Nothobranchius furzeri: one gene and its partners. The protein of the gene in region 1 interacts with the protein of each later gene in a biochemical or structural test. Links are inferred from orthologs where the notes say so. Each region holds a gene or a part of one and is shown in the gene's direction. Other genes may lie near its edges.

Evidence for each region.
Region 2: the proteins of lats1 (region 1) and serine protease HTRA2, mitochondrial form a complex in vitro, tested with the Homo sapiens proteins (2 studies listed by BioGRID, with this or other methods). The link is inferred for Nothobranchius furzeri from reciprocal best matches to the Homo sapiens genes LATS1 and HTRA2.
Region 3: of the proteins of lats1 (region 1) and mink1, one has a biochemical effect on the other in vitro, tested with the Homo sapiens proteins (2 studies listed by BioGRID). The link is inferred for Nothobranchius furzeri from reciprocal best matches to the Homo sapiens genes LATS1 and MINK1.

What each region holds. Positions count from the first base shown.
Region 1 is NC_091742.1:11,411,042-11,415,149, reverse strand, and holds the start of lats1 (serine/threonine-protein kinase LATS1), read left to right. Parts: upstream 1-1,216; 5' UTR 1,217-1,357; intron 1,358-2,352; exon of another isoform or gene 2,353-2,454; 5' UTR 2,455-2,565; coding exon 2,566-2,898; intron 2,899-3,308; coding exon 3,309-3,393; intron 3,394-3,901; coding exon 3,902-4,108. Other genes in the region: nucleoporin Nup43, read left to right, coding at 1-12, 305-534. UniProt on the Homo sapiens protein: Negative regulator of YAP1 in the Hippo signaling pathway that plays a pivotal role in organ size control and tumor suppression by restricting proliferation and promoting apoptosis.
Region 2 is NC_091758.1:31,041,791-31,045,903, forward strand, and holds the start of serine protease HTRA2, mitochondrial, read left to right. Parts: upstream 1-1,304; 5' UTR 1,305-1,498; coding exon 1,499-1,932; intron 1,933-2,798; coding exon 2,799-3,003; intron 3,004-3,464; exon of another isoform or gene 3,465-3,502; coding exon 3,503-3,697; intron 3,698-3,808; coding exon 3,809-3,841; intron 3,842-4,038; coding exon 4,039-4,113. Other genes in the region: mis18bp1 (mis18-binding protein 1), read right to left, coding at 63-864.
Region 3 is NC_091750.1:48,005,435-48,009,084, reverse strand, and holds part of mink1 (misshapen-like kinase 1), read left to right. Parts: intron 1-1,052; coding exon 1,053-1,076; intron 1,077-1,460; coding exon 1,461-1,612; intron 1,613-1,679; coding exon 1,680-1,794; intron 1,795-3,038; coding exon 3,039-3,155; intron 3,156-3,369; coding exon 3,370-3,481; intron 3,482-3,650. UniProt on the Homo sapiens protein: Serine/threonine kinase which acts as a negative regulator of Ras-related Rap2-mediated signal transduction to control neuronal structure and AMPA receptor trafficking.

The sequences.
Region 1 (4,108 bases):
CCTTTCTACAAGGCAAGTCCTATTCATCATAATAATCATTATTATTATTATTATTGGTATTCAGTTTAAAAGGCTGCCTATGTACTTCTTCTATTTTCTTAATTATAAAGATTCTATGGAAACACAAAAGCCATAATCAAGAAAATATCCAGTTGAATGTTTTACTGAAAGTTTACATTATTTAGGGTTAAATAAACAAAGAATTTCCTGATAATGTCCAACACCAGGTCAGTCTATTAAACATTGTCATGTTGTACTATTTGTCGTAATTTCACTGTAAAAAGTGTTATTGTTGTGTTTCCAGGTAGCAGAAACAGCAGCGTGACCTCTCGCAGTGCGATGGCCCTTGCTGGAGGAAACCAGTCCCTCATCAGTGCCTGGCTCAACGGAGACTCCAGTAAAAGCCGCCTGGAGACGACCCACATGCTGCCCAGCCAGACGCTGTCTGTCAACAGCTTGGATGTGCTTGGACAGTGCTTAGTTTGTGGAACTGATGGAGAGGCTATTTTTATCAACAAACAGGTCCCAGTTTAAAAGATCTGGAGGTGACTAATAAATACATGAATGCAAATTTTAATTTGATGTTTTGTGACACATTGGAAGACTTTTTTTTTGTTACACAAAAAGCCAATATACCTACGCAATGAAAGACCTCTGTGTCTGATGCAATGCTTCATTCTTTGCAGTGACAGAATATGGATTAGTGTTTTTGTATGTCATTCTGTACACAATTGTTCAGATTAATAATGTTTTGTACAGATTACTTAAAAAACAATAAAGAAATAAAATGTAACTTTCTCAAATTGTCTCAGGATGTTACGTTTTTTTATACTGACAAATCAAGTAAAATTGTAAATCAAACCTACCAACATAAAAATGTCAAAGTCAGCCTTGTGAGCTCTTATGTTGCTCTGTAAATTTACAAATAGATGTTATGTGCTCACCCAAAGGGAAATTGATTTATTTTTATACATATTAATGCTCTTATTTTTTTATTTCTAAGATTTGTGCTGTGAAATGTGTTTGGACTTCATTAACAGGTTAGCAAAAAAAAACTTATAAAAAAAAGCATTAAAATTTTCTTCATTAGTTTTATTAGTGTTATTTTGTTCTAAACTTAGCAAAAAAGTAATTTCTCCACTGACTTTTATTGTGAAAGTCCAGCGTCTGATGGTGCGTCGTTAGCTTAGCTGTTGTACTTGTCATTCAGATATCCCAGGAATTCAACAAGACTAGGAACCAGTCGGCGCGGAACAACAAGGGCATTTTAACTTCAAATCGCGTCCTCGACGCCGAGGAGGGTCAGCAAACCACTACTGTCCGTTAATAATAGGAAAAGCGACAGCGGCGGACTTTGGTGAGTTGTTGTTATCGGAGCTAGCAGGCTAATGCGCAACCTGTTGTTGAATAGCATCAAATGGATTCCTATTACACACAGGCCGCTTGAAAACTGCTGTGTTGTTTGATTTTAATCCTTTTTAAAACTCTTAAACTCAGTATTCGCCCACTCTTTTGACTATCCTTATAAACGTTTAATTGTGACAAAAATCCGTACCCAACGCCGGAGAATTTACGTAAAATTAGCGTTATGTTAGCATAGAGTGCTAAGGAGGCTATACACACGGAATGGGGTCTTTTAATGAAGTCAGTTCCAATCGAGACATTTTTTACCTTAAAATTTACGTACGCCGAATTTCACTCAAAAGTAAACGATAAACAATCATAACTATTTTTTTATCAACACATGACTTCCAAGCGTGACAGAAACAGGTTATTTATTTACAAAAGGATTGAGAGGCATGAAAAAGTATCTTATATGTTTTGAGTATTTCCAGATCATTAATTATTGAGAACAAAATATAGAAAACGTGTGTGTTCCTAGACTTTATTTTCTGGAAGGTTTTAATTTGATTAAAAACGAATTGTATTGTAAAACTTTTCTAAATGATCACTTTCCACATGTTTCCCTCACTGTTTTCAACTTATCACAAGTTCACCCAAACATTTTCAGAGCTCTATGTTGATCTAAGTGGAAATAGCTTTAAATATACACCTGATCTTTAATCAAATTAGACTTTTTCATTAGGAATACAAGCTTATTAAAAACAGATAACTAGTTTTATTTAGGGGAAATTCCCAGAAATCCTTGTTGTTGTTTTGCACAGTCAGTGGTGATTTTTATTTATAGTATACAGACCTTGTTACTGTAAATTTACAGTAAATGTTCATATCTTTACATTTTAAAAATGGCAGAAATATCTTAACATTTGAGCTCAAGAATGAAAGTAGATCTGAAATGTAAAATATGTAGGAACGTTCTGGTAAAGAAATAAGTTGGGCTCTGTTAATTACTTCTCTCAATCTCATTTTGCTGAACCTGTTTGGTAACATTATGTGTACTCTGGTTGCTTGTTTATCTCACTTTCAACTGGCATCAAATATTTTCCGCTGCAGCACATAGATGTGAGGTCAGACATCGGGAAAACGTCCGCTATTGTCGCCACCCTGGATTGGTGATATCCTCTCCATCCCTTTTATCATCGTCATCATCATACATGCTCGTACATGAGGAGGGGGGAGAAACCCGAAGGATACAGACAGATGAGGCCCAAAATATTACCGGTCGGCAACTGCAGCGGCAACAGCCAGCAAATGCTGATGGAAATCCGAAAAAGTCTGCGCGACATGTCCAAACCTTCTGATTCTTCTAAAGTGGACAACGGCGGACACGGAAAGATGGCTCCTGAAGATCCAAGGCGCTCCAGCAATCCCAAGCACCATAAGGCATTACAGGAGATTCGCAAGTCCCTGGTGCCCTACGAGGTGAATGGTTCATCAAGCACTTCAGACATTAACAAACCGATGTGTCTGGAGCAACCATGCGCCGGGTTTGAGGAGGTAAGCGGAGTTATTAAGAGTTTATCCCTTTTGCCCTCATAAACACATTCTTAATGAGGAATTGTGACAGGTTCTCATTCTGTTCGTGCCTTTGTAATAGAAGATAATCACCTGCTGCACTGTGTTTAGAGGGCAGTTATTTGGGAAATGCTAGGTATGCAATGTGAAATAACAAGCGTCTGGTTTGCGTGAGTACATGATGAAAAGTATCATGGTAGGCAGCGCAGGTGCGCGGGTTCAACCGTGTTCAGAGGGTGAAAAGCAACAGTCTTGGGAAAATTAGATTGTTTTATTCTTTTAAATTATAAACATCTTTTGTTAATTTTCTAATCATTTTTATTGTAGATTAGAAATTATAAGTCATTGCATGAAGAAGGAATTTCTTAATGGATCTACTTTGGCCTCCGTAGCGTCGCGGTGCGACCAACTACCAGGACCAGATGAGGGAGCCGGTCATGGCTGCTAACACCAGCTCTTCAGGCCTGAAAGCTCCAGGTAACAGTCCTCTGGGATCCGTGTTAGTTTTCCTTCTTTCTTCTACATGACCTTTGGACTCAGCCCTCATATTGTTTGCAGGGATCAGGATGGTGACAGTACCTGCTTCCAAACATGAGTCACTGTACAGCTTCATAACAGAACAGAACGGAGGGTTTTGGTGCTTATTCATGCTCTCGCTGGTATTATATACGTAGAGGGAACACAGATGCATCTGTAGTATCGGTTGTAATTTCCACTGTTATGTGATACTGATAATATAAGTAATTGTGTAAAAAGATTCTTAGTCGCTCGGAAGTGCCTACACGACACTTATGACAGCTTCTTTACATGGCCAGGCCGCGAGGGGCGTCATGAGCATCTCTTCTGAGACGATTTGTAGAAAACTTTTTTTTCTATATTTTTATGTATTTTCCTTTTGCCGCCTACAGTCACAGCCCAGTGAAATCCTAGTTTAAGTTGTCTTTGTTCTTCACTTAAATCTGACAAGATCTTTACTGTCGTGTAGGATCTTCTCACATGCAGCAGGTGGTGCTCAGGAGGCCTAGCTGGAAGGGCTCTAAGGAGGCCCTCGCTCCCCGCCTCGGTCCTCACATGGCAGATGGGATGGTGTACCGCCCCGACAGCCCCGGGCCACCTCCTGTCTACCCACCACTCCGCGGTGTCGCGGCTTCTAATTCTCCCTGGGACAACAACCCATCAACCAAGCGCTGGT
Region 2 (4,113 bases), on another chromosome or scaffold:
AAGCCCTTAAAACTGTTTTTCTCTTAATGGGACAAAATGCAGAAAAAACAGACACAACTCACGTTTGTTTACGACTGAGCTTGACTGGGGGGTCTTGGGTTGTTGGAGCATCTCTGACTGATCAGCAGGAAGTCCTCCAGCCAGTATGCTAGAGTTGTTGTGAGTGTGATCCTCTGTGGACAACGACCTTCTCATTCCTCTCGCATCTTCCACGCGCTCCTCGGTGGTTCTGATGACACAATTACACTCCTGTTGATCTAGTTTCTTCCTCAGCCTGTTCTTTATGGGGGTAAACATCCTCCCCTGAGACACAGGACTAAGAGGGGTTGCTCTCTTATCAGACACACTCCTTCCCGTGCTTTCTACTGACTGTCTCTTCACTGGACTCCTGCTGGACAAAACACGTGACTCCCAGATCTGAGGTGTCCTTTGGTGGATCTGATCTCTGGTGACCGAAGAGAAAGGCTGAGACACAGCTGTTGACTCCATTAAAGTCCCGTCTCTCAGCTTTCGTTTGTATCCACACAAATCAGTCATTGGAGATGTTTCCCGCAACGATGAGTACCCACATTTCTTCTGGGGACTCGAAATGGGCGAAAGAGTCAAAGCCTGCGCTTCGTTGTAATGAGAATCAACCGTTTTGTTTTCCTTGTGTTTGTCGACCGTGTTCGTAGATTTCCTCCAGGGAGAGAGAAAAGCTGCCCCATGTTTCTCTCTAACGCTTAACAGCGGATTGTTGCCTATAAAATCGTCCAGCTTCGCGTTCATCGCCTCCATCTGCACTTTAGATTTGAGCCTCGCAAACACCTTTGCGGGAGATTCGAAGTAGGAATGTGTGTGTTGTAATGAATTAAATGACGCCATAGTTTAACACATTAAACGGGACCTAATGTATCCGGTTTCCAGACTAGTAGCTAGCTCGCTAGCCTAGCGCGCTATTTTCGAATTTCTCTGCGCTGCTGTCTTTGGCTGGAATTCTCTGACGTACACCCAAAACAAAACGTCAGTACAGTTTTACGTCCGCTACGCACGCTTCTTCGCGTTCTTCTTCAAAAGACAAAACTTCGCAAGTCTCGATCTGTTAAAATGTGTAGCTAAAAATTAACAACTGAAAAAGTGGAGGTTAAAATGCCTATATCTATAAAAATAAGTCCTGTTTCGAGCCACTCTTCTCTGTACATGTAGAGACAAAGAGGGAATGTAGAGGGCGGTAAAACAAAAAGGCCAAAAAAAAACCATAGAAGAAGAAATAGGACGCGAAGAAGACAACCGCGCGTGCGCAGTTTAAATAACTTTCCCGAATAAGCTTGTTGTTAGACGCGAAGTTGAGAGAAGCAGTTTTGAAAGAGAGTATTTGTGTTAGATTTTTTAAATTCGATATAGTCTAAGTGGTTGTTTACACCAGTAAGGGATACACGCTTTATTTTACAGGTTTTGGGATATAAAGTGTTGTTTTCTGTGTGAAAACTAGCGAACCAGTGTGGCTGAGTGATGCAACATGGCAGCAAGTGCTGTCACTAGATGTTTTCTGTCAGCATTGAGGACACAGGCTCGGAGTCAGGCTGGAGTTCACCTTTCGGGACAGAGTCGGGTGCTTTCTACTGTGATGTGTAAAAACGGAGAGTCGCGGGGGAACACGAGCCTCGAGAGGAGAGCTCCAGCTCGGGACGAGGGACGAGGTCGGAGACTGAACCCTTCCATCTGGAAGTCTGTCGGTTTGGCGATATGCGGTGCGGTCCTCCTGGACAGGGATAAGGACGAACACGGAGACGCTAAAGTTCTCAAACCCGGGAGCTGTGTTGGACTCATTCTTGCCTCGGCTCAGTGCGCTTCTCCCTTTAAACCCGACAGCCCCAGATTCAGATACAACTTTATAGCGGATGTGGTGGAGAAGTCCGCTCCAGCTGTGGTCTACATAGAAATCCTGGGCAGGTGAGTTCTTCTGGGGGCTTGAAAACTTTTAAAAATGTTGAAATTGGAATTGGGTATCTTCAAAGTTTGGGAAGTGCTTTAATTTGTTTAAATAGGTACTTAAAAGGTGCATGAAACTAACTTATCAGACCAGGAAGTAAAATAACGGTAATCATGAGCATGTACATACATTGTTTATGCACGTGAAAGTAGCATCAGCTTTAAGATGCTGGAAAAGCTTGAAAACTTTCCTTGAAAGTGCTTGAAAAAAAGCTTTAATTTAAAAATTGAAACCCTTACTCAGATCTGGTGGCTCATGAAGAATATTCATTTAACTGGTTTAACATTTAGATTAGCAGGAGTAATCTCAGTGAGATTCAGAATCTCCTTTACAATAGAGTCTTGGCCAAGACAGCAGCTTAATTGGTTTCAAAATAAAAGAAATCTAATAAAAAAGAAGAGAAAACTAAAGCCAATACATTGGCATGATCACCAGCAGTGTCCATTAGCAACACATGTCCATTTAGTCATGGGAAAAATCCTTAATCCTAGATTTGAACTGTGCCATTATTGGTAAAATAATCTAAATTGAAGTGACTGTGCTACTTAAACCAGGATGGGGGTGTAAAAACCTTTAAAGCATTTATTTTGTAGAAGAACAAGTCAGATTTCTAACAGTGCTAATAGTAGATACATATTATCTGTTTAAACGTGACATTGTGATGAGAAACTGAAATGTGGTATTTAATCTAATTGAAAGTTGTTTATTTCTAATGTTTGGTGATTTTTACTCTCTTTTATTTTCAATTATTATAAATATGACCCAAAAAAATTATGAAAATAAACATGTTTTTAACTTCAGGCTAAATCTTGCGTTTGTTTCACAGACACCCGTTTTCAGGAAGAGAAGTTCCTGTTTCGAATGGTTCCGGTTTCATCGTCAGCAGCGACGGCCTCATCGTCACTAACGCTCATGTTGTGGCCAATAAGAGAGCGGTCCGTGTGAAGCTCCCAAATGGAGACTCTTATAACGCTACTGTGCAGGATGTGGACCCTGAGGCAGACATAGCTACCATTAGAATCACTCCAAAGGTGAACAAACACTTAGAATATAACAGGGGGAAGCAGTCTAGATCTGCTGCAGACTCTGGATGAAGATTTATTCACATTAATGGAGCCAGATGGAGATTATTATTTATTTTTGGACAGTTAGGCTGTTTAAAATGATGCTTAAAATTTAGCAGAAGTGTGGCGCACACCCCCTTCTGTCATTTTCTATTTTAATGAGTCATTTCTTAATATTTTTGTGATTATTTGAGTTTTGCTTAATATTTTCTGTCAGTATTTAAGTTGTTTCTGCTAATTAGTTATTGAGAAAATACAGATTTGCTGAATTTTACATAATCGAATAATAAAAGTATCATAATAAAAGACTGTGATCCAAATATTATGAAAGACAAGGATTATGAAAGGTGTTGTCACCATTTACCGAGCAGGCACCAGTGATCTGGTTGAAGAACTCAAGAATTACCTCATTTATTTTTGTGTAATAGCTCCTGAAAGTCCTCGTTTCCCCCCTCCTGATGTGCAGAGTCCGTTACCCACGCTCACACTCGGTCAGTCATCGGACGTTCGACAAGGAGAGTTCGTGGTTGCCATGGGAAGTCCGTTCTCGCTGAGAAACACGATCACATCCGGGATCGTCAGCTCAGCTCAGAGGGGCAGCAAAGAGCTCGGCCTTTCCAACTCCAACATGGAGTATATCCAGACCGACGCCACAATCGACGCGAGTACTTTTTCTTCATTTTACATAGTTTAACCCTTTTTAGGACCAATATTCCTGAATGTAGATTTCCCATGACTCAAGTATTTTTATTATTACTTGTTTTCTTTGCAGTTTGGAAATTCTGGAGGTCCTTTGATTAATCTGGTGAGTTGAGGTTCCTGCTCAGTTGAGCTGTAACACTTCTACCTGGTTTGGATTATTGTGAAATGACTAAAACAGAGTTAACTCTTCTGTTTCATTTCCTGAAGTGAACTAATACAATTAGAATGAGCTACGACCACCAGATGAACACATCCGTGCACCATCTTTAGATTTCACTAATACTCCTTTTTTTAAATCAGGATGGAGAGGTGATTGGGATCAACACCATGAAGGTGACTGCAGGGATCTCATTTGCTATCCCGTCTGATCATGTG
Region 3 (3,650 bases), on another chromosome or scaffold:
GCTCTGCATAAGGGCTGGACCAGCAGATGATGCTCACTTTTACTTAGACAAGCACATTAGTGCGTCTTAATCAAGCATTCAGTCTAAAGCCGCAGTAATGAATATATATTTAACAGCAGGGATTCTTTAATTACAGCCCTTTCTGCATCACGTTCCTCTTGTGCTTAAAGACCAAGGTTGCTGAGAAACTATTTTTTTAATCGTTAACTTTGAGCTATGATTGGCCACATGCAGGATGAACGTGAAAATAGTCTTCTACCTCTATTTTCTGCATTTACTCGTCAATTAGTAAATAAACAAGTAAAAGATTGAATTAGAAAAGCCAGCCAGCCAATTCCACATCACATATAAAATGTGCATTCATGGACTCACCCATGTTGGCTTGTAACGGGGAAGGCTGTGGTTGGTTGGTTGGTTGGTTGGTTTAGTGTCCAGGAAAGACTAGAGCCCATCTCAACTAGTAGAAACTTACCGTTAGCATTAGCAACTCCACCACGCAGCAGAACTCCTTCAGGCTTGAGTTATTTGTGGAGATAAAACATCAAAGTTGCAGAGCAAGCAGTCAGTGGTAGAGTCACATTGCTGTTAGCCAATCAGAGGCCAGATGTCTGAATATCAGGAAATGAGACCAAATTCTGCCATCTTCTGCTCACCTCTCATCTGGCTAACGTCTAGTTCCTGAAACAGGAGCACCAGAGCTTTTTTTACCCCACAGAGATCACACTCATTCATATAGAGACCACTGCAGATGGGTTGACAAAAATGAGTAAACTCTGCCTTTAACGAGCAGAAAAACAAAGTTGGGGTTTAACTCGCACTGATCATCACAAAGGCAGTGGCAGAGGAAGTAAACTTATGTAGAATAAATGTTTATTTTCCTATAGACGTACACATCACTGCACGCAGTAAGGCAATTGATAAGTGAATCTATTATTCATGTCTGTTATCAGTAGTTACATGCTGCCAGGCAGAAAAGGACTTTCTGTTTACACTTCAGACTCCATGACATCACTCCTCATGTTTTGTTTTTTGACTTTACCTCAAATGTGCAGAGTTACAAGAGAGCAATAGGGGAGGTTAGTATCTCTGTCGTCTTGTGTGATCCTGCATGGATTTGTATTGGTGTTCCTGGACTTCTACGTGTTTATGGAGAATCACATGCATGCTGTAAAGCCTTCATTCATTTGAGGCGTTGTTTTTCTTTTGAATTAAATAATATTCTGTTTATAATTTGTGCCATTTGACTATTTTAGTTATTTTTCCCAATATAAGGATGCCCTGAATTGTAAACCATTTGATTCCCAGTTGAGTACTTTCTCTGGATGGGACCTCACTCATGTTTTTGATAATCTAAATAGTAATTATGCATTTGTTAATGTTGTGCTCATTCTTTACATCTTTAATTGTTTAGAATGTTTTGAATGCATTCTCAAAGTAAACAAAGCTGTATGCGGGTGCAGGATCATGGCCTCTATGCCAAGGAGCGTGCCGAGGAGCCACCGAGGCCTCCTGTCAAGGCCAATGATTACTCCTCCTCTTCAGAGAGCAACGAAAGTAGCGAAGAAAGTGAGAGTGGCGAGGCAGCAGAGGAGGAGGAAAGCCCAACGGATCGGTAATGCTTGCACAAATAAACTTTTACAAATGAGGTAACGGAAAACTGAGTAGGCCTAAATGTTCAGTCACAGGGATGCAGACACCGATTCGGTCAACACCATGGTGGTTCATGAAGACGAAGGCGAGGCAGAGGGGGAGCAAGCAGGAGTTTATGGGGACCAGACCATGCTGGTGCAGCGGGTGAGTCACGCCAACTTCAGATCATGTTTAAGATGCTTTTTGATTTCTGCAGAGGAATCTGCATGGTGGCAAATATTGTAGAGCAGGGAGATGAATTCATTCAACTCATCATGTTAGACATTTATTTAGGAAGTATAACATCATTTTTACTGTTTTTGCAAACTTCTCAACAAACAGATCTAATTCCAAAAATGATTTAAAATCATTTTTATAGCAACTCTTTTTTTGATTCCAGTTTAACAGAATTAATAAAGGGCATAAACGCTTTTTATTTCTAAAGCCTCATTAATCTGCCTCCATAAAGTCGTCAGGCCTTACTTGTGCAGAAATACACAGAATTTAGAACAACACTAAAACAAAAAGGTCCCTTACTTTATTTTGTGGATTTGTTTTTATTCAGTTATTTAGTTTATATAAAAGATCAAACAGGAATAAACAATATATTTAAATGTTGACACAATGCAACTGTTTAAATTATTCACTTCATTCTGTGATCTGCTGGTTTCTTATTATTAGACCCTTAAATATTTGTAAAGGTTTTTAATGAAAGTTGCCTGAAGCTCCCCTCCAGCTAAATGCTGTTAGTTTGTCAGATAAAGCATCTCTGAGATATTTGGGGAGACGACCATGACAGCATGCATTTCTGGATGGCTCCTAATGAGTTGAATAGGAACAGTGTCTCCTTGACTGAGGGGTTTTGTGTGTGTGTGTGTGTGTGTGTGTGTGTGTGTGGGGGGGGGGGGGGGGGGGAGGTTTAAATAGTGAAATTACAGTTTTGGTATCCTAATTGATACAATGACACACACTGCAGGTTCATGCTAACAGTAGTAGGTCTTCACAGCCGTCTCTGACAGCTCTGAGGCTCAGCTGCAGCACAGGAGCAGTAGCTGTCCTATATTTATGTCACCATCTGGATTGGTCAGCCATCATCCTCACAGGACTTCATGCCCTCTGGAAAATTTGTTTTATTAAAATTACGGCAATTTGGAAAAGTTAGTTTGTCGACTCGCTTTTCTTCAGTTTTCACAAAATAAAAACAAGGATGTCTGAAGAACTTACTGACATTTGATTGAGTTGACAGCTAGAAGTCACTCAGTAAAGACTTCAACTCATTCATGTTTCCAGCCTGCAGAGACGATAAAGCAGCTGACCTGTTATAGAAAAGGCACAAGCTACGTTTAAAGGGATTACTGCTTCTTTACTGTCGTCACATAATACAAGTATCTGTCTATTTGACCTGAAAGACCCCGGAGAAGAGGAGCCATAATGGATACACTAACTTGCCAGATGTGGTGCAGCCTTCCCACTCTCCCACTGAATCAGCCACTCACTCCTCTCCTGGGAAAGACTCTGTTTATGATGTAAGTTGTCCTGATGCTAAGTTTGTCAGCCCTGGTTTTAGGGTTTATTTTTATTTCTTCTATGTATGCCATCATTTCTGCTAGACGCCATCATTTCAGTATGATACTGGCATCAGTAGCACATGTTGTTATGATTCTCTGATGTGAAAAGGTGAAAGTTTCCACAGAGTTTATGTAGACTTGTTTATCTCACCCACCCTTTCTGTTTCACCAGTATCAGTCCAGAGGTTTGGTGAAGGCATCTGGCAAGTCTTCCTTCACTACTTTTGTAGATCTAGGCATGTACCAGTCTCCGGGAGGAACAGGAGATAACATGTCAATCAGCAGTGAGTCGGAACATTTTTAAATGTGCTTAGAGTTGATTATTAGAGAACTTTCGTCTTCTTGTTTATTTGTCTTTTGCAGTCAAACATAAAGAAAACAACATGATTGTTTTGATGCTATTGTGGCGTTTTGGATGAAGTTGTTGATGCACATTAAACTACATTTAAAAAC